Linked DNA regions of Xenopus tropicalis. The protein of the gene in region 2 interacts with the protein of the main gene of each other region in a pairwise test. Links are inferred from orthologs where the notes say so. Each region holds a gene or a part of one and is shown on either strand. Other genes may lie near its edges.

Region 1 (4,021 bases), on a different chromosome or scaffold from region 2:
ATTTCTATACAGGTGGGGTTGAAAAATACCCCTCCATTGACCTTGATGGTAACCACCTATACTCTGCTGGAGCACTTGCAAGTCAGGAAAAAATCTCTCGGAAATGAGCCTACAAATTGCCCCAGCAGGGTGCACGCTATTGTCATTCAGTTCAATGGGGAGGAAATTTTGAGCGTTTTTGCCAAATGCCAACCATATGAGGGCCAAAACACTGGGAATCACTTTTAGTATGATGCAGAGAAGGCTATTCTGAGAAATTCTGCGATTCATTTTATTTTTTTGTTATTTGCGGTTTTTGAATTATTTAGCTTTCTGCTTAGCAGCTCTCCAATTTGGAATTTAAGCAGCAATCTGGTTGCTAGGGTCGAATTTAACCTAGTAATGTGGATAAAGAAAAACTCACCAGCACACCCTGGCTCCTCCAAAAGAAAAAACTTTTAGCCTGGTGCCCGGTATAAAGAGGGAACGGCACCCTCCAATCCAATCTCGAAAAGCATAGATACTGGCACAGCAAGGCAATTATAAACAGGTAAAACCTGCACGTTTATTTAGTGCAACACAGTAACGTTTCGTCTGACGAAGGGGTTCACCCCGAAACGTTACTGTGTTGCACTAAATAAACGTGCAGGTTTTACCTGCTTATAATTGCCTTGCTGTGCCAGTATCTATGCTGTTCAAATTTAACCTAGCCACCAGGCAGTGGCCTGAAAGAGGCAGAAATTTAAATAGGAGGGCCTTAATAGAATGATAAGTAATAAAAAGTTAAAATAACTATAAAATTGTAGCCTCGCAAAGCAATCATTTTTGGCTGTGGGGTCAGTGACCCCATTCAAAAGCTGGAAAGAGTCAGAAGAAGAAGGCAAATACTTCAAAAACTATAAAAAATACAAAATGATAACCGAGTGAAAAGCTGGTAAGAATGGGACACTATATAACATACTACCGGTAAGTCTTAACCTAAAGGTGAAAAACCCTTTTAACATTATCCAGGAATGATATGGTAATGATGTGTTTCACAAGACACACAATCAAGTGCTTAATACTTTTACAATAAGCAAGAATAAGTGAGGCTTGGGATCAAGGAAAAGTCAAATAAAGTATAGAAATAATACCAGGGTGTATATATTTAGCTTCAAGCTAGTTATATATTGGCAAGTCAGCGATATATTGGCCTACAAGTGAAGCCAAAAACAATGGCATCCTGACCCAAATCGGATATGAAGGTTGGAAAATTCTGTTGAGCGAGAACCACATCAGGCAGTGGAAAGCAGCAAAAACTGGGAGTGTTTGCAAGCAGACAGTATACACCCTTAATGACTCATAGTGTATCTAGAAAAGAATAAGCATTAAGAAAACTCCCTCATGGAACAACCAAAAAAAAATATATATATAACCAAGATATAACTAAGCCATATCATAAGCTTGCTAAAAGGTATATATTCCGTTTTATTTCAAACTTTGCTCTACTTCTCCTGTAGGAAAAGAGCAAATGTTAATATGTAAGTGTCATGTTACAATTACAGACACGCTACAATTCAAAGGAAATGAAACTAAATATACTTGCACTAGGATTTCCTTGCTCAGCAATCCTTAGGTGTTTTTACCACTCCTTTGCATGCTAATAATACCCAATACAAAGGCCTCACCCACTTAAAACAACGCTATCACATTATAACCATTATACACATATTTAATAAAATATGGGACAACTTGAATGTACCATTCTAAGTCCTTTAGAGCTGTGACAGACAGGGACAAATCCCCCTTGTCGCGGACGACTAATCTCCACGAAATGCCATCCCACCGGCTAGAATGTAAATCGCCAGTGGGATGGCATACGCAGTGCCGCAATTTGCCGAAGTCACGGAAGTTGCCTTGAGAGGAAACTATGGCAAATCTCCCCGTGTACCCCTGCCCTAATGGATTAGCAAGGAAGACATATAGTGCCTTATGTGATGCTTTTTTCATGTACAATAAGTCTTTTCTTACATACTACCTAACAAAACTGGAGTTAGTGTACACTGGCTTATTATCCCTAGCAACACATGGAGCCATTAGAAGCAGCTACTTGTTGTGGCTACTAAAAAAGACAATGCTGATCATTTACTGATAATTGATCAGATCATGTGTGCTTTAGCAGAGGCAAATTAGGCAATTCTCAGTATGGTGTTTAGTTGCCTTGACAAGTAGCTGCTGCCAGTAGCCCAGTATGTCTTCATCCTAATAGCTGTGTTTGCCCAACAGCTGCAAGGCTAGTGGAAGCCAAATTCTGACGCTATGAGTTACTACAGAATCTACACCCATTATCTGTAATAAATGCAGAATGTGACAAATAGTGAGCACTAAGCAGCGGTGCGGGATAACGATGATATTCTGAATTCTCAGGGTGATTCTGTTACAGGTCTTGGCATCAGCAGACAAAAGAAGAGTAAATAAACACACTTATGTGCCGGCCATTGGCTGAGCTTGTGCTTGGCGTCCCCCTCGAAATGAGTAAGGAAGCAAATATATCCTGTAGTTCCCGATCGTTACAATTCAGCCGGTGAAGATCAGTCTATAAGCAGAGGGGCAGATGGCAAAGTCTTTGTCCGGACAAGGGGTATTACATGGGCACCTTAGAAGCGATAGATATGTCTAGCAGCCAAGCAGCGAGAGAAAGAGAAGCAAAAATCCCGTCAGCTCGCCCCGTTTTAGCCCTTACCAGCGTCTCACGAACACCCGGACACAAGATAAGCGGCTGTCACCGAACTACTTCCCAAATGAACACAACACTCACCCGGGAGGCTACTTCCTCATACTTCGTCTTCTGGTAATGCCCGGCCTGCAATTGGGCGCCAGAGACGTCATTCAATATCACACTTTCAGCCCCACCTCTATCTGCTGATTGGCTGATTTGTAATAGATTTAGCAAACACTAGGAGGGGCATAGAAATGTTACTTATGTTAGTTGTTCTGAGTATGTGTACCGTGGTTCCTATTTCATTTTTCTTCTGCGGATGGAAAATCATGATTGCTTCTGCTTGCATTCAAAATATGAATATAAACAAATACATGCAAATAATTGTTAAATATGAATCTGTGTGTATTCATATCCAGCTGTTATTGTGATAATTTTCACTGAACTTTTGGAGCAAAATGAAGTAAAGGCACTTATTTTGTTCTTCTGAACAGAGAGCATAGTCTTGCCTGAGGATTGTGGTGCCTTGTGGTTGCTGGGGGCAAGGGGGCAAATGGGGGATCCCGTTTGACACCTGCTTTCAGAATGTTTATATGACAGATCATTTTGCACTACACTTCTATATATGTGTAGAGAGGGACCTACAAGTTTTGCTGGTGACCCTACTATTTTCTACTTCCTTCAATGCAGAAAAACCCAGAAGCTAATTTACTAATACCAAGTGCTAAACTGCGCCACTGCGGTTATTCATAGTAACCAATCAGATATGTGCTTTTATGTGCTAACGTGTAGTAGTCTGATAACCATGAATTTATGTTTTGACTTACTGCAGTGCTGTCCAGCTTCTACGGTGCCGAGGGCCGGAATTTCTCTAGCATACATGGTGGAGGGCCGCTAATGGAAGCCAGTTTTGACCACTCCCCCTTTTGAAACCACACCCACTTCAAACCACACCTATTTTATCACAATGGTGGTAGCACAGCAAAATCCCAAATGCTTGGTCCTTACTGTGGGGATATCAACCATCATTCGTATGTGAAAGAATTATGTCATATTAAGATATACCCTTAAATTCCATATGCCTCCTCCTCCCCTGTGGATAGCAGAGCAACCCCCAGTACATAATTACACACCTTAGGGACCATTTAATGGCTATTTCCAACTGCTAACAAACTCCCACAACAACCCCCTGCCAGGTTCACCTCCCACAAGCAGCATAGGGCAAGCAGAGTATGGCACACACAGGCAGCACTCTGCCTGTCCTATGCTGTCTGTGTGTGCCATACTCTGCCTTCCCTATGCTGCCTCTGTGTGCCATACTCTGCCTGCCCTACCCTGCCTGTG
Region 2 (4,135 bases):
ACCATCTGTCCAAATACAGGACTGTGGGGCAGATCCAGTGCTTCAACTGATTTTTAATGCCCCCAGTCTGCTCAATTTCTCTACAGCAAGGAAACAAGTGAAAAAAAAATTGGTTTGTTCAAACCAAGGGTGAAAATCTAACATGCCCTTCTGTGCAGTACAGTTTTGAGATCCACAGCACAAAAATGAGAAAGAGAAAAATTAGTTTTGCAAAAATATTCAGACCTCTGATCAAGTCTTATCTATTATCCCCTCAGATGAAGAACAATGGGAAGAAGCAACAGATAACTGGACAGAATTGTTCCATTTAAGATTATCCATCAAATCTACACTATGCCCTTGAGGCTTAAGGCTATGGGCAGGCTAGAAGGAGACAAATGTTTAAAATGTGGTATGGGAGAGGCAGGATTCCTTCACCTGATTTGGGAATACCCCTGGATAGCAACAAACTGGACGTTACCTGCTACATTAAGGAGTGCTTATCCCTCCCTGGATAAATACCTCCAGAGACCTGCTTAAGAGAGATAATGCCCTTACAAAAATCTAGAACACCCCTACGATCCGTTATGTCCTATGCAAAAAAGTGAATAATTATGAAATAGATGAGCCCCAATTCTCCGGCACTCCCACAGTGGACTGAGCTAATAAATGGTACACTACCCTTAATCAAACTGACATACAACGCTCTGAACATATGTGTTGCATATTCTTATAATCAGGAAAGATAAAAGCAAAATTAGAAAAAGAATGACTTTTTAAGCCGAATCATCCTGCTGTGTGTTTCATTGCTCCAACATGTTTCGGCCTTACATACACACTTGATAATGGGCACGTGAGCCTGAAACTGGTTGTATGAGCAATAAAACACATTAACTACTGCTTGAAGGTCGCACAAAACATCGTCAGATCCGCCACACACCGTCAGGGCTGAAACAGCAGATAAGGAGGTAGAAACAATAAGATTCTACCTCCTTCTGCCGATTCAGCCCTGACGGCAGATTTTGGTCAGGTGCCTTCTATGGCGCCCGATCAAAATTTTCTAACCTGGCCGATCGGCGAGTCGACCGATTTCAGCAGCTTCCTGCGATATCGGTCGACTCGCCGACATGCCATACACGCACCGAATATCGTACGAAACGAGGTTTCGTACGATATTATCGGTGCGTGTATGGCCAGCTTAAAACAGAAACCTCTTTCACTGTCCAACTTCCTTTAGTTCTTGGAAGCAACTGTCTAAGGAGGAGAAGAAAACTGAACAAATTGTCTAGTCCTTAAAGGCTCTGGCACACGGGTAGATTAGTCGCCCGCGGCAAATCTCCCTGTTCGCAGGGAGATTTGTTGCGGGTGACTAAACTCCCCGTGTGCCAGAGCCCTTAGATGCCCTCTGTACTATGAGCTTCTTATCTCCAATTCTGACAAAGCTTTACATGATGCCTAATTTGTTAGGAACCATGTAGCTTACAAAAATGCTAAACTGCTGCCCTACACTGGGGCATCTTTTTTAAATAAAATATTCACCAGTCAGGTACTTGGCTGGGGAACAATGCTCCACCATCTTACTTTAGTTTCTAAGCTATTCCTTGCATGAGATTGGTGTGCGTGCACTGGGATTTAACACGAACCAGGCACCTTAAGGAATAAATACAAACCCTATTTACTACATTAATTGAGCAAAATAACTTTTACTTACACTATATCCATTTAATCTTGTTTATTTTATTTTTTTTTGGAATCCACATTAAAGCATTCAGGTAGGCACCATTTTGTGGAAACTGTTATTAAGGCAAGCTTTGTATCAATCAAAATGTAATTTATGTCCTAGAAAGTGGGACCTGATGCCCATGCATAGGCTATGCAGTTATAGACAGAAGGGAGGGGGCATGTGAAGAGTGCAATGTCATCTAGGAAGGGCAGAAATGAAAGTGAAAATGATTGCTGAGCCTGACGCATGGGAGGGAAGGCAACATATGATTGACAGCTGGGATTCTGAATAAAGTTTAGGTATGGAAGTTTTAATAATAAAAAAAAGAATGTGGGTTTCATGTTTAATTTATTATACAGATATCTGGATGACAGGTTCCAATTAATGAACTTGCTATGCTGTACTTGCAAGAAATAGTAGATATTACAGATATCTGCAAATAGTAGAAAGGAAAATCTAAAATAAGACACTAGAGTCACTTCCTTTCTAGGTAATAACAAAAATATCACCATGATATCACATCATAGTCAAATGAGTCAATAGAGCAACACCTGTAAGGTCTCTTGCTGGGGGACTAGCAGTGCCCTGATTGGTGGATCACATATGACTACATAATAACAATGGCTTCTTATGGTGAGACAGAAAGGGGGACAACTTTTATACATGTTCAGAAGTAAAAAAAGAATAGACCCCTTAAATTAAGATGACCCCTTATATTAAGATGACAAGTTTCCACAAGAACCAGAGCAAACACTGCCATCTGATGAACTCCTTCCTGTGTTTGGGCATGAGACACCTGCCATTTAGGTAAAATGTCCAATTCCACTTATTCTATTCGTTGTCATAGTAATCAGAATACCAAAAGGTTAATAATCTGATTGGCGCATGCGTCCCAGGGTGGCAGAAGTTGCCAGCCGCACAGAATGAGCCTAATCCCAGTAACCCTTTGCTCCCCTCACCTCAGTATATTGTCCGCATAGGTGAGCAGCAGCTGGGAAGCGTCCAAGAATTCCTGCCGCTCATTCTGGCACAGCTCAGCCACTGCCGGAGAGTCCAGCGCTGCCATTGCTCCAGAGCAGAGTAGCAGGGATAGTAGGAAGTCCGGTTAGAGAATACCCTCGGTGACTGGTAGCAGGGGGCGAGGCAAAACACGGAGACACGCCCTTTCGCCCCTGAGCTGAACACGGAAGTGAAGTCACAGTGGCGCGCCGGCATAGCAGGTACTTGGTAGGGACCTGGGTCAGCTCAGCAGAACTGCACTCAAAGGATAACGTCTGTTTAATCAGTATTAGAGAAAACAACACAAACTATATTCAGTAAAGGGAAACTTTGCCCCAAGGGTCTTCAGTACCCTTTCCAGCTGATGGAGGATGCTAGGAGTTTGACTCTGACTGCTCCTTTCTACTGGTGTATTCAGTTTGTATATAGCAGCGTTTTTACTGCTACAGAATAGGTTTGTCATTGACCGAAGGGTAATTCAATATTTTGCGGGTAGAGTTATCGCCTTGAGTGTGTTCATTCATAATTGATAGGATATTAATAGAATAAACATTTTTGTTTTCATATGTTTAATAGCTTCTCGGATAAATGATCAAAATAAACAAGCAAGTCATTTAAATGTGGCTACCCCAAAGCTGTGAAAAGCAGCAGATTCAGGCATTTTTTCTGACTTGCCCTTTATACATTCAAAACATGGCTGCCAGATGCCCAAAATCACTTTCGCTGATGTCAAAGAGAACTGAGAAAACTAGCCTTCTGTTTTCACACACCTGAAAAGAACAACTATAGAGTTAGGGTTAATTAAAAAGAACTGCATTTTGTTGCAGTTATAGGTCCATACCAGGTCTGGACTGGGATGCAAAATAGGCCCTGGCATTTAAAGTACACAGAGGTGCTAATAGCCCCCCACCAGCCAACTAAATAGTGACTGGAATTTTACAGCAGCCCCTCCTGCATTTACCAGAATCCACAGGTCCCCATGGTCCATATATTGGCTCTTTGGCATTTCAGTTATTAGTTATTTTGTTTAAAACATGGTACAGGTATGGGATCCCTTATCCGGAAACCTGTTATCCAGAGTTCCAAATTACGGAAAGGCCATCTCCCATAGAATTCATTCTAAGCAAATAATTCTAATTTTTTAAAAATTATTTCCTTTTTCTCTGTAAAAATAAAACAGTACCCTGTACTTGATCACAACTAAGGTATAATGAGTGCTCATTGGAGGCAGAACAATCCTATTGGGTTTATTCAATATTTCAATGATGTTTTTGCAGAATTAAGTTATGGAGATCCAAATTATGGAAAGATCCCTTATCCGGAAAACCCCAGGTCCCGAGCATTCTGGATAATAGGTCCCATACCTGTACATTTAAAAATCTTATATGTTATATAGGAATATGTAAATAGTTGCAAGAGGACAAGTCACTCTGC
Region 3 (3,397 bases), on a different chromosome or scaffold from region 2:
GCCATGCCAGCTTCATTAAAGCAGAAGAACTGTCACTCAAGTGAAGAAAATCATTTGCTAAGTATGAGTTTACAAATTTTTACAGAGTGCAAAAAATGAAAAATCCCTGCTTACAAACAAATGTATTTGTTTTAGTCATCTGGCTATTTGGGGTTTTCTTTTTTGGTGGTGGTGTACTGTTTCACAAAGTAATGGATGTGATAAAGGGCTAAATACAGATTTAAACGTGCGAGACGGGTAGAGAAGGCTGCACGTTCTCATTAAAAAGAAATAATTGCGGAGTAAATGTTACTTAACACACCATGTGGGAAACCAGAACATGCAACAGTTGTTTTAAAAACTTTACTGCAATTTAAACATTGAAGAAATTAGCAATTAGAAAGCTAATTGGAGCCAATCCTTAATCTGCAAGAAAAAATAAAACAGAAAAAAAAAAAAACACATAAAACAAAAATAACCTCCTGCGTGCGTATGAGCACTATTCACTCAATGACCAGGTTTGTAAATATCAGTGAAGATTGTTTTATTGGAAGGAAACATTTCTGAATTGACTTTCACAGGATTACCATGTTAAAAAATTCTGTGCACTAATTTCATACATAGATTTTTTGTAAAGCAGCAGATGATCATCTATGTTTATTTTGGCATTTACAACTTGCAAACTTCTTTAAAGCCCTATAGCAATAATCCAAGGTTTCGGTGACCAAAAGGTTCACATAACAAAAACCACAGATTATTACTAACACCTTTTTTTTAAGTTTAAATGAAATAAGGAAGCAGGGCATTACACTAAATTTCTGGATTGAAGTATACTAGTAAAGGCAAACATATAATGCTTAAAAGAAAATAAACTTTGTCTGCTGAAGCTTTATTTTGGTTGTATAGGTTTAATTCCTTTGTATTATAATACAAGCGGATTGCTGTTACTGCTTAATTAAAGCAGTTGTATGCATTTTCATTACCTAATTTTTCCAATATTTCCCGAGCCCTCCCACCCCCCGTTACTACCATACACCGAATATTGTGGATATGAACCCAAATCATCCGAGTAAATCCAGTGAGCAAAGTTAGTGTAATGCACTGGTGTGAAGTGAGATACAAAAAATACAGTCTCTTCTTTTCAATCATCATCAAAGTTTTGCTGTAGAAGGAAGTTGGCAGCCAAATTCTCATTCTTCTCGCATGCGAAATAAGCTTGTATCACAAGTCCTTCAGGGAATCCTAGTGCTTTTAGCTAAATTACAAAAAGAAGCAACTGCATGAGTACAAATAATCCTCAGCAAGGACAATGCAATACATAATATTACAACATGCCATGGCTATATCCAGTTGATCATTCGCTTACCCTTTCTATAGCTTCTTTTTCCTGAGGTGTGACTTGAATGTAGTTCATATGACCGCTTCCAGCCTCTGCTGCAATGCCTCTTCCACCTCCACCTCCTCCGCCTCCTCCTCCACCTTGCCCCCCACTTTCTGGGACTGGGTCATTTAACATCTGAATAAATTGCTCTTGATGCTGGCTAATTTGCTGCAAAGAAATTGTTTGTTTTTTTTTAATCTTTAGTTGTCTACAATATTTCAGGTTTTTTGTAAGCAGAAAGACAATTTAATATGCATTTCTTGTTCAACCCCAGGAAAAGAACATAGAATTAATGTAAACCATTCCAATGATGTCAGGCTAATTTTGAAATACACAAAAAAAATTAAATTAGCATAGTAGCTATTTCTATCTTTTAAATAAAAGAAAACTGCATTTTAACTATAGTTTACTGCACCCTTTGCTTATCTGTTGTCTAAACAAAGCTATACACAGCTTTTGCTCACTAAAGCCTAACACATATTAAGGAAGCGCTCCAGAAAAAAACAAAACTGAAAAATAATGCAGTTTCCAAACACCAATTATACATTATGTAAAATACATACAAGACATTATATGTATTACTATCATTTAAAGGGTGATCATCAAATGAAGCCAAATTTACTGGCATCAGTCAACTGACCAGCCTCTTACTAAAAAGCGCAACCAATAAAGTACACTTGTGTCCTGAGGCTTAGAGCAAATAAATAGAAGGCCAATGAAACTACCTGCAGTAGTGAGGGATTCTCCCGACCGATTTGTTGGAGAAGTGCTGGTAATAGGGAAGGATTCTGCTGAATGATCTGCCTCATCTGCTGAAACTGAGGCTGATTCTGCAAGAAATCAAGGGGATTTCCTAGAAATAAAATAAATGAATAAATAATGTACCTATAACACAAAGCAATCCTTATATCACCTTAAGACAAAAGACAGGGACAAGATACAATTTTATTTGTTCTCCTGTTGTTTCATGAGACACAGACAGACAAGACCAACATAAATAAATTCTAACCCAAAGCAGAATAAGAAAAAAAAAAAAATCAAGGTAGAAGTTGGGGCCAAGAAATGTAATTGGTAAACATCCAGTAATTCTCTTGCCCATACCTTTTTCATGACAGTTTCAACAGTTATCAAAGATATGTCCAAGCAGAGCTCATAAAGGCCCAAGGCACACCAGATGTTTTTCTAGTGCAGTTGGTGACAGGCTGCCTTCCTGACAGGAAACTGCCTAAGTGTTCAGCCCAACTGAAGTAGCCCCATGTGCCATTACCCCACCCTCATTTTTTGTGACAGTAAAAATTTCTAGTTAAAAAAAAAACAAAAAACTGTCCTATCTTAGAATAAAAAAAAAATATTCTTGACACATCTAGCATAATTAATGTAATCACATGCTTAACATGCTGATTAATTGATTAGAGGTCTCACCTCCCGTTGAGGGTGTAGATGGTGTAGTAGTCGTTGCAGCTGCACCTGCCGCAGCGGGAAGAGGCTGAGTAGGTGTACTGCTTAAAGTCTGGGGAGGTTCTGCAACTGCCTGACCTTCACGATCACTAGGGATTCCCTGTTAAGGTAAAAATACAAATTGCAACTAAGAAAATAGCATTTTATTTCATAGCAATATCCATAATGATATATTACTACAAGAACTTACAAAAAGAATATGTTACCCACATTATTTTTTATATAAAAAGACATAATGGGTGGCTGATATGCTAACCTTTGCCCAACAGTTAGGGCTAATATTTGTCCTTAAAATTATTGAAGGCTGATCACCTCTCCTTCCCATAATAGGTTTAAAATTTGTGAGAAACAAAAAATGTAAACTTAGATCTAGGTTTGGTCTATTGAATGAGTCACAGAAAATTCTTTAAAAGTTCAAGGTACATTGAGAAGATCTAAAATGGAGGCCATGCAGACATAGTACAAAAAGTAATACACCTGCCTAATAGATATGGGGGCTTGCATCAGGGACATCTAAAAAAAAAAAATTGGTCTGAAAGTCCAACTCAGAATAGAGAACTTACTGAAAGCATAACACAG
Region 4 (3,353 bases), on a different chromosome or scaffold from region 2:
AGTTTTTTTTTTAGGTGACCCCTATTCAAAAGTTGAAAATAGTCAGAAGAGGAAGGGAAATAATTTAAAAAACTTAGACCAGTTAAAAATTGCCAAGATTGATAGGCCATTTTATAACATACTAAAAAAATTAACCTGAAGGTGAACCACCCCTTTAATCTTATATATGATATCACTGGGCTTCAATGTATATCAGTATTCAGGGTGGTTTGCTTATTGAATACACCGATTAAACTTTTTTTTTTTTTAAAGTGTTTAAATCCAATATAAGCAGTTTTGTGCTCTTAGCAAATTTTTCTTAAGGAATTTAAAAAAAACAAACACGTAAGAGCCCTTACATATTAATAGCAGCAATTGAAGAATTGACCCAGAATAACACTAATATTACACAGTGTAACTTAACAAACCTTATAAAATGTGTTTGTGTCTTGATAATCTCAAAATTATTCTTGGGTTAAAAAAAAATGATTCTGACCACTAAAGTAGACAAACTAAAGTGAAGCATTGCAGTATGTATAAAACCATCTTTATTATAAACTGTACATTAACATTTTGTGGTCTCTTGCATCAGAAAAGTGTTTTCACACCCTATAGTATTGAGTACATCAGACATTAATGGATCAGCCCTATAAATTAAGATTGATAGTGTTATTAGTACCCATACGGACAACACCTTTCCCTGGCATCTAAGTATAAAAATTAAAACCGTACCCACATACACATTTCCTAACCAGGGTCACTGGTTGAGTGTGGAAGTGACCCTATAGCAGCACTGTTCGTACAAGGCTATCGTGCAGCTAGACACAGAGCAAATGTGGTCAATCAGTGCAAGAATGGGCAATTCATTCATCCTTTCTACTGAACCCCGTTCAGTTCTATGGATAGCACTGAATATCTACAGAGGCTTTCAGAGTTGCCCAAGCAAAGTTGGCTACAGTGTAAATGCTGCATGATCAATTCTGTTCCCTTTCTACATTTTTCCCTCCTGAAACTGCTACCTGCTTACCATCCTAATAGTTGAACTGAACCCAACAGACCATTATGAGTGGCCATCCTAGCCATATTTTTGGTTTAAATTAATTCCCAAGTGGCAAGGGATAAATTAATGATGGTCCAATTTTCCACGGACTACTACTACTCCACCACCACAAGAGTGAGCTTTAATTTTAACTTCTAAGCAGAATATATATATAAATATCTTTATATCGCGTTGACTGTGGGTAATGAGGTTCCTGCTGAGTGCTGTACTCGATCCTGAGAAAAAGTTGATGCAGAGTTCAGGGGTCAGCTGTTCACATAAACAAACAGAATATCTTCATCTGTGCCATAGCTGCTGCGCGACTCCTCAAAGTTAGTGATGCTGGTCCGACACAACCCTAAGGGCAAACAATCATCATTTATTTATAGAGTGCCTGTAAGTTACACAGTATTTAATAATTATTTAAAACAAACCAATGTGCAATAATTTAACAAACAAGGGTTACAGAATAGGAAACAGAATCGGAGGTCCAGCTCACAAGAGCTTACTGTAAGTTTAGAAAGCAAAAAAAAAAAAAAATCACACAGGAAGGATGCAATTGTTAGGAACACATGGGTAAGACTTACTGTCGGCATATCCTGGGTTGTTGTAAAATAAACTGCCAGAACTCTTGTTGTAACCACAAAGCACAATAAAATGGCCCTGGTAGTCACTGCTCCTGCAGAAACACTTTTGCCCAATTGGAAGAAAACAGCAGTATTTGACACGTCTGGGGCACAGGTCACACAGTAATAGCACTGCATTCACTAGTACGATGGCCACATGTCCCTGGGAAAGATGCTCCTGTAACTCCTGAATGGTCACTGTGCTGCAAAGTGGAAGGGCCAATATTATACAGGCAAGCTAGAAAACTGAATGATATAGTTTGCATTTGTGCAAGGAAAACAGGGGCAATGAATGCGAACCATTTACAGATATCACCAACATTAATAGCTGAAGCCTGACACTGGGTACCATCCACTGATACAAGATACAGGGGTGAGACCCAAACAATTTGCCCAGTTTTACAAGTAAAAAAACAATGCAAACTAGATACAGTTCTAGAAAGGAACTGATGTCTTAGCTCATGTTACTTGCTAAAAATAACCAGTATCATAACGAACTCCATAGATACAGCCCTACGGTAACTAGTTGTGTTTAAGTAACGATGCAGACTATCTGCAGTATTGCACTTCATTCTATTTTATAGTCACTGCACATGATTTATCGAAGATTTTTGATACCTTTAATTTTTAGATTTTGAATAAATAGATAACGGGTATCAAGGCTGTACATTTACCGTTTTTCCACATTCACTCCACAGGATTTGGCTTGTGCAAACAGCTGGTTCACTCTGTTTTCCTCTGCATCAAAGTGTTTTCTGTAGAATGACTAAGAAAAGAGAGTAGCCAATGAACTAGCATGTCAATCCCTGATGCCATAAATTTAGGAGAAGCCCTCTGGATTCTGAATAAGCTTTCTACAGAAGCAACAATTCTCCTTCATGTTTCCATAAGGCCTAACATGCTTATGACAGTCAACATTCAGGCCTCAGTCATCTGAAATATCACTACCTATAATACAAGTGTCTGAAATAATTTCTGCTTTAGAACTTTTCACATTGCACTGTAACCAGAACTATTGGAAAGCAATGCTATGAAACTTTTGGCTCTATGTAGAGGTTGCAGCAGCTAATCCCGTGGTATAGAAAAACCAGCACTATACACCTCACTCTACTGCCCACTTTACATGTCGACTTGCGTTGTAAATATAATTAACCTTTATGGTAAAAGGGAAATTAAGACAAATGCACTGATTTTAAATCTATATCTAAAATCCATAAAGCAAGGCAGGATTGCTGGATTAATTCTCAATTCTCACGATTTTACAGATATATATATATATATATATATATATATATATATATATATAGGATATAAAGGATAAGACAACCCTAATCTATATAGCAAAACAAAATTGCCATTTTATTCCCAAATCTATGGGAAACTCATATGTGCCTTTAGGTGTTTGCACTGAATATGATCTGTATCCACATCTACAGTGATAATTTCTCCATGAATACATTTTGGATAGTACACAGGTACCTGTATATACAGTATAATTCCTGTCAACAGCTATCCTACAATATATTTAAGTTAGAAAATATTACCTTATTCAATACAACAGCTTTCTAGTCTACATATTAGGTGCCAATAACCCATGCACTGAAAATTACTATACCACTTAGTACCCAACTATTTGTGCCTGTAAGTAACTCAACAGCCACACTAACCTGGTTCTTATAACCTTTATCGACCCCTAAAGTCTGAGTGCA
Region 5 (4,030 bases), about 69 Mb from region 2:
GTTTTGGCTTGCACATCATTTATAAATAGCCTAAAAGAAAACTGCACTTTAGTTATTATTAAATAGGAATATTCTGAACTTCGTGTCTGTACTGCAATGTCACATGAATTTAAAGATGATAGACAGACAGACAGACAGATAGATAGTTGGGATTAATTTTTAGTTTTACCTTTCAAATGAATGATCTTCATTAATTTGCAGCCCTAAAACGGGCATTTTTGATGGCTGATCTCTGTATTCATCCTCACACAGTCGAGCCAGTGCCAACTAAAATGAAAATACAGTGGTGACAATGTGTCACACAGGCCTTTAAAAGTTCCCTTAAAGATGACTAAGCCAGACCCATAAACCTGCAACAATGGCAACACCATGGAACTGGCCAGACATGGCAGACACCAACCCTATGCCCATCTCTGTTTTTTTACCTGGTACATGGGAATAGTTCGTTTTTACAAAATTAGTTGGGTGTGTTATGTAGGAGCAATGCTGGAGAGGGCTTTTAGTTCCCCTTTAAAAGGACATATAAACACACAGTTGTCACAGTATTGCATCTGTCATTAACGAAAAACGGAAATAATAGGCTGGACTTTAAATCTAGCAAAGCAGGGGTACACCGAAGCAGATTTCTGCCATCTCTTGGCACAGAGGCAGCTCGCATTTACCATATCCAAGCCCAGGGGAACAACCAAGCAGGGGGCAGAAGGAAGTTACTGGGCCCAACAAATATGTTTTTCTATAGCTGTGCAGGGTACGCGAGAATATAAATGCCCTCTGGCACCTGTCTGGCAGCCCCTGTACAGGCTCAAACTGTGACCCTGTGTGTAGCAGCAGTGTTACACAATGCAGCGCACTGAGTACAGAGCGCTGGGCACAGGGATTCCTGTTGTAGTGCTGCTGTACAGAGCGCTGGGCACAGGGATTCCTGTTGTAGTGCTGCTGTACAGAGCGCTGGGCACAGGGATTCCTGTTGTAGTGCTGCTGTACAGAGCGCTGGGCACAGGGATTCCTGTTGTAGTGCTGCTGTACAGAGCGCTGGGCACAGGGATTCCTGTTGTAGTGCTGCTGTACAGAGCGCTGGGCACAGGGATTCCTGTTGTAGTGCTGCTGTACAGTGCTGGGCACAGGGATTCCTGTTGTAGTGCTGCTGTACAGTGCTGGGCACAGGGATTCCTGTTGTAGTGCTGCTGTACAGAGCGCTGGGCACAGGGATTCCTGTTGTAGTGCTACGGTACAGAGCGCTGGGCACAGGGATTCCTGTTGTAGTGCTACGGTACAGAGTGCTGGGCACAGGGATTCCTGTTGTAGTGCTGCTGTACAGAGCGCTGGTCACAGGGATTCCTGTTGTAGTGCTGCTGTACAGTGCTGGTCACAGGGATTCCTGTTGTAGTGCTGCTGTACAGTGCTGGTCACAGGGATTCCTGTTGTAGTGCTACGGTACAGAGCGCTGGGCACAGGGATTCCTGTTGTAGTGCTACGGTACAGAGCGCTGGGCACAGGGATTCCTGTTGTAGTGCTGCTGTACAGTGCTGGGCACAGGGATTCCTGTTGTAGTGCTACGGTACAGAGCGCTGGGCACAGGGATTCCTGTTGTAGTGCTGCTGTACAGTGCTGGGCACAGGGATTCCTGTTGTAGTGCTGCTGTACAGTGCTGGGCACAGGGATTCCTGTTGTAGTGCTGCTGTACAGTGCTGGGCACAGGGATTCCTGTTGTAGTGCTGCTGTACAGAGCGCTGGTCACAGGGATTCCTATTGTAGTGCTGCTGTACAGTGCTGGGCACAGGGATTCCTGTTGTAGTGCTGCTGTACAGTGCTGGGCACAGGGATTCCTGTTGTAGTGCTACGGTACAGAGCGCTGGGCACAGGGATTCCTGTTGTAGTGCTACGGTACAGTGCTGGGCACAGGGATTCCTGTTGTAGTGCTGCTGTACAGTGCTGGGCACAGGGATTCCTGTTGTAGTGCTGCTGTACAGTGCTGGGCACAGGGATTCCTGTTGTAGTGCTGCTGTACAGTGCTGGGCACAGGGATTCCTGTTGTAGTGCTGCTGTACAGAGCGCTGGTCACAGGGATTCCTATTGTAGTGCTGCTGTACAGTGCTGGGCACAGGGATTCCTGTTGTAGTGCTGCTGTACAGTGCTGGGCACAGGGATTCCTGTTGTAGTGCTACGGTACAGAGCGCTGGGCACAGGGATTCCTGTTGTAGTGCTACGGTACAGAGTGCTGGGCACAGGGATTCCTGTTGTAGTGCTGCTGTACAGTGCTGGGCACAGGGATTCCTGTTGTAGTGCTACGGTACAGAGCGCTGGGCACAGGGATTCCTGTTGTAGTGCTACAGTACAGAGCGCTGGGCACAGGGATTCCTGTTGTAGTGCTACGGTACAGAGCACTGGGCACAGGGATTCCTGTTGTAGTGCTACGGTACAGAGCACTGGGCACAGGGATTCCTGTTGTAGTGCTACAGTACAGAGCGCTGGGCACAGGGATTCCTGTTGTAGTGCTACGGCACTGCTACGCATGTAAGTGAGCCGACAGAAGCCCCTTGCCAGTCACACACCTGCAGGTCCAGCACTGACGGCCTCAGTGAGTCCTTTAGTTCCACCTCTTTTTCTCTCTCCGCCCCCACCTCTCCTCCATCCTCACTACATCCTTGGTCCTCCTCCCCTTCTTCACCCGCATCGTCGTCGCCTTCTTCTGAATTTTCTCTTTCCTCCATCTTTAATCAATAATCCGTTCCAAGCTCCCGCACCGTGCGTCACTCGTCACAGCCAATACGTCACCCATTGTATCCCGGGCAGGCTGGGCCCGGAGGCACGCTGGGGGGTTGTCATAGCAACGGATCCGGCCCGGGAAGGGGGCAGCGCTGGCCGGGTGCTCTTGCACTCGGAGAGTGCGGTGTATAGGTGGCACTGTGCAGAGCTATCATTCATTATGATCCACTGAGTTGTGCTCTTTGTGAACCTACATTGGAAGAGAGCGGTCAGGTTGCCACTGGATTCTGGACAGCGCTGAAGTGATTAAGGAAAGCGCTGAGGGACTGTGGAGATAGCAAGGGCCTAATTCCCTCCACTACTCGAGGGGTTAACGGTTCCTGTTACAGAAGGGGAAAAAATGTACACTCCTACAGCTCCCCCCTCCCCCTTGCTTCACTGTTCACCCTGCAGCATCTCACTCACTGGCAGCAGCCGCAGCACGTAGGATCATCTGCTCTCTTCCCTCATCTGCCTTCTGCCTGCGACCGCTCACTGCCATGAGCGACGAGCTCCTCCAGCAGGTGCGGGCCAGACTAGCGGCCGAGGGAGCCGAGGAGCTGGTGCAGCCACACACAGGTACAAGGCATACAAGCGGCGAGCAGTGCCAGTAGGCGACCGCCTCGCCGCTCCCGCCCTCCCTCCCGCCTGAGCCCCAGTCCACCTAGGACTACCCGGCGCATGACCTCCGCCGCTGCCTCCCAACCTCCGACTGCCGCGCCGGCAAGGCAGCGCACGGAGGTTAGGACAGGGGCCCGCGTGACATCACGCGGCTCCGCCACTGCCACCAATGCGGCCCCCACACAAAAGCCCTCCGCCAGTTCTAATAAGGCGAAGAGGGCTACACGTAGGCCCCCCCAAGCACCCCAGGCGCAAAGCGCTATAGCCCCCACAGCTGAGGCAGCTCCTCAGCCCAGTGTACCTGCCAGCCAAGTACCCCTTTTCACCACCCCCACCCCCCACTGCAGCACTGGGCCCCTTGTAGTCATGAGGCACACGGCCCCTGTCTCACAGGAGGTTGAGGAAGGAGAGCTCCTACTTGAGGAAGCTTTCTCTAGGTCACCCAGCCTGTCACCAGACCATTTCTTCTCCACACAGCCCACATCCCCCCCCCCACCCCTCCCCACCTGAATCATATATCTCGGAGCCTTTTCCTCAGGTTTTTTACACCCAACCCCCGGCACAGGCACACTCAAGTCGCGCCCGGCAGATGGCGGGCACACCCGCACCAAGGGCCCCCCAGGACACTGGGGCACGCAGGCGCCACCATTCCACTGGCTCGACC

Evidence for each region.
Region 1: the proteins of ngly1 (region 2) and trafd1 interact in binary tests that used the Homo sapiens proteins (3 or more experiments, as listed by UniProt). The two-hybrid records come from large-scale screens. The link is inferred for Xenopus tropicalis from reciprocal best matches to the Homo sapiens genes NGLY1 and TRAFD1.
Region 3: the proteins of ngly1 (region 2) and rad23b interact in binary tests that used the Homo sapiens proteins (3 or more experiments, as listed by UniProt). The two-hybrid records come from large-scale screens. The link is inferred for Xenopus tropicalis from reciprocal best matches to the Homo sapiens genes NGLY1 and RAD23B.
Region 4: the proteins of ngly1 (region 2) and gucd1 interact in binary tests that used the Homo sapiens proteins (3 or more experiments, as listed by UniProt). The two-hybrid records come from large-scale screens. The link is inferred for Xenopus tropicalis from reciprocal best matches to the Homo sapiens genes NGLY1 and GUCD1.
Region 5: the proteins of ngly1 (region 2) and ubxn2b interact in binary tests that used the Homo sapiens proteins (3 or more experiments, as listed by UniProt). The two-hybrid records come from large-scale screens. The link is inferred for Xenopus tropicalis from reciprocal best matches to the Homo sapiens genes NGLY1 and UBXN2B.

What each region holds. Positions count from the first base shown.
Region 1 is NC_030677.2:163,670,059-163,674,079, reverse strand, and holds the start of trafd1 (TRAF-type zinc finger domain-containing protein 1), read right to left. Parts: upstream 2,809-4,021; 5' UTR 2,702-2,808; exon of another isoform or gene 2,441-2,701; intron 1-2,440. UniProt on the Homo sapiens protein: Negative feedback regulator that controls excessive innate immune responses. Regulates both Toll-like receptor 4 (TLR4) and DDX58/RIG1-like helicases (RLH) pathways.
Region 2 is NC_030682.2:47,695,211-47,699,345, forward strand, and holds the start of ngly1 (peptide-N(4)-(N-acetyl-beta-glucosaminyl)asparagine amidase), read right to left. Parts: upstream 2,808-4,135; 5' UTR 2,769-2,807; coding exon 2,662-2,768; intron 1-2,661. UniProt on the Homo sapiens protein: Specifically deglycosylates the denatured form of N-linked glycoproteins in the cytoplasm and assists their proteasome-mediated degradation. Cleaves the beta-aspartyl-glucosamine (GlcNAc) of the glycan and the amide side chain of Asn, converting Asn to Asp.
Region 3 is NC_030677.2:120,702,905-120,706,301, reverse strand, and holds the end of rad23b (UV excision repair protein RAD23 homolog B), read right to left. Parts: intron 2,919-3,397; coding exon 2,783-2,918; intron 2,214-2,782; coding exon 2,086-2,213; intron 1,529-2,085; coding exon 1,346-1,528; intron 1,235-1,345; coding exon 1,121-1,234; 3' UTR 507-1,120; downstream 1-506. UniProt on the Homo sapiens protein: Multiubiquitin chain receptor involved in modulation of proteasomal degradation. Binds to polyubiquitin chains.
Region 4 is NC_030677.2:152,597,535-152,600,887, forward strand, and holds the end of gucd1 (protein GUCD1), read right to left. Parts: coding exon 3,312-3,353; intron 2,411-3,311; coding exon 2,319-2,410; intron 1,848-2,318; coding exon 1,606-1,847; intron 1,377-1,605; coding exon 1,285-1,376; 3' UTR 510-1,284; downstream 1-509.
Region 5 is NC_030682.2:116,311,662-116,315,691, reverse strand, and holds the start of ubxn2b (UBX domain-containing protein 2B), read right to left. Parts: upstream 2,801-4,030; 5' UTR 2,712-2,800; coding exon 2,553-2,711; intron 268-2,552; coding exon 170-267; intron 1-169. UniProt on the Homo sapiens protein: Adapter protein required for Golgi and endoplasmic reticulum biogenesis. Involved in Golgi and endoplasmic reticulum maintenance during interphase and in their reassembly at the end of mitosis.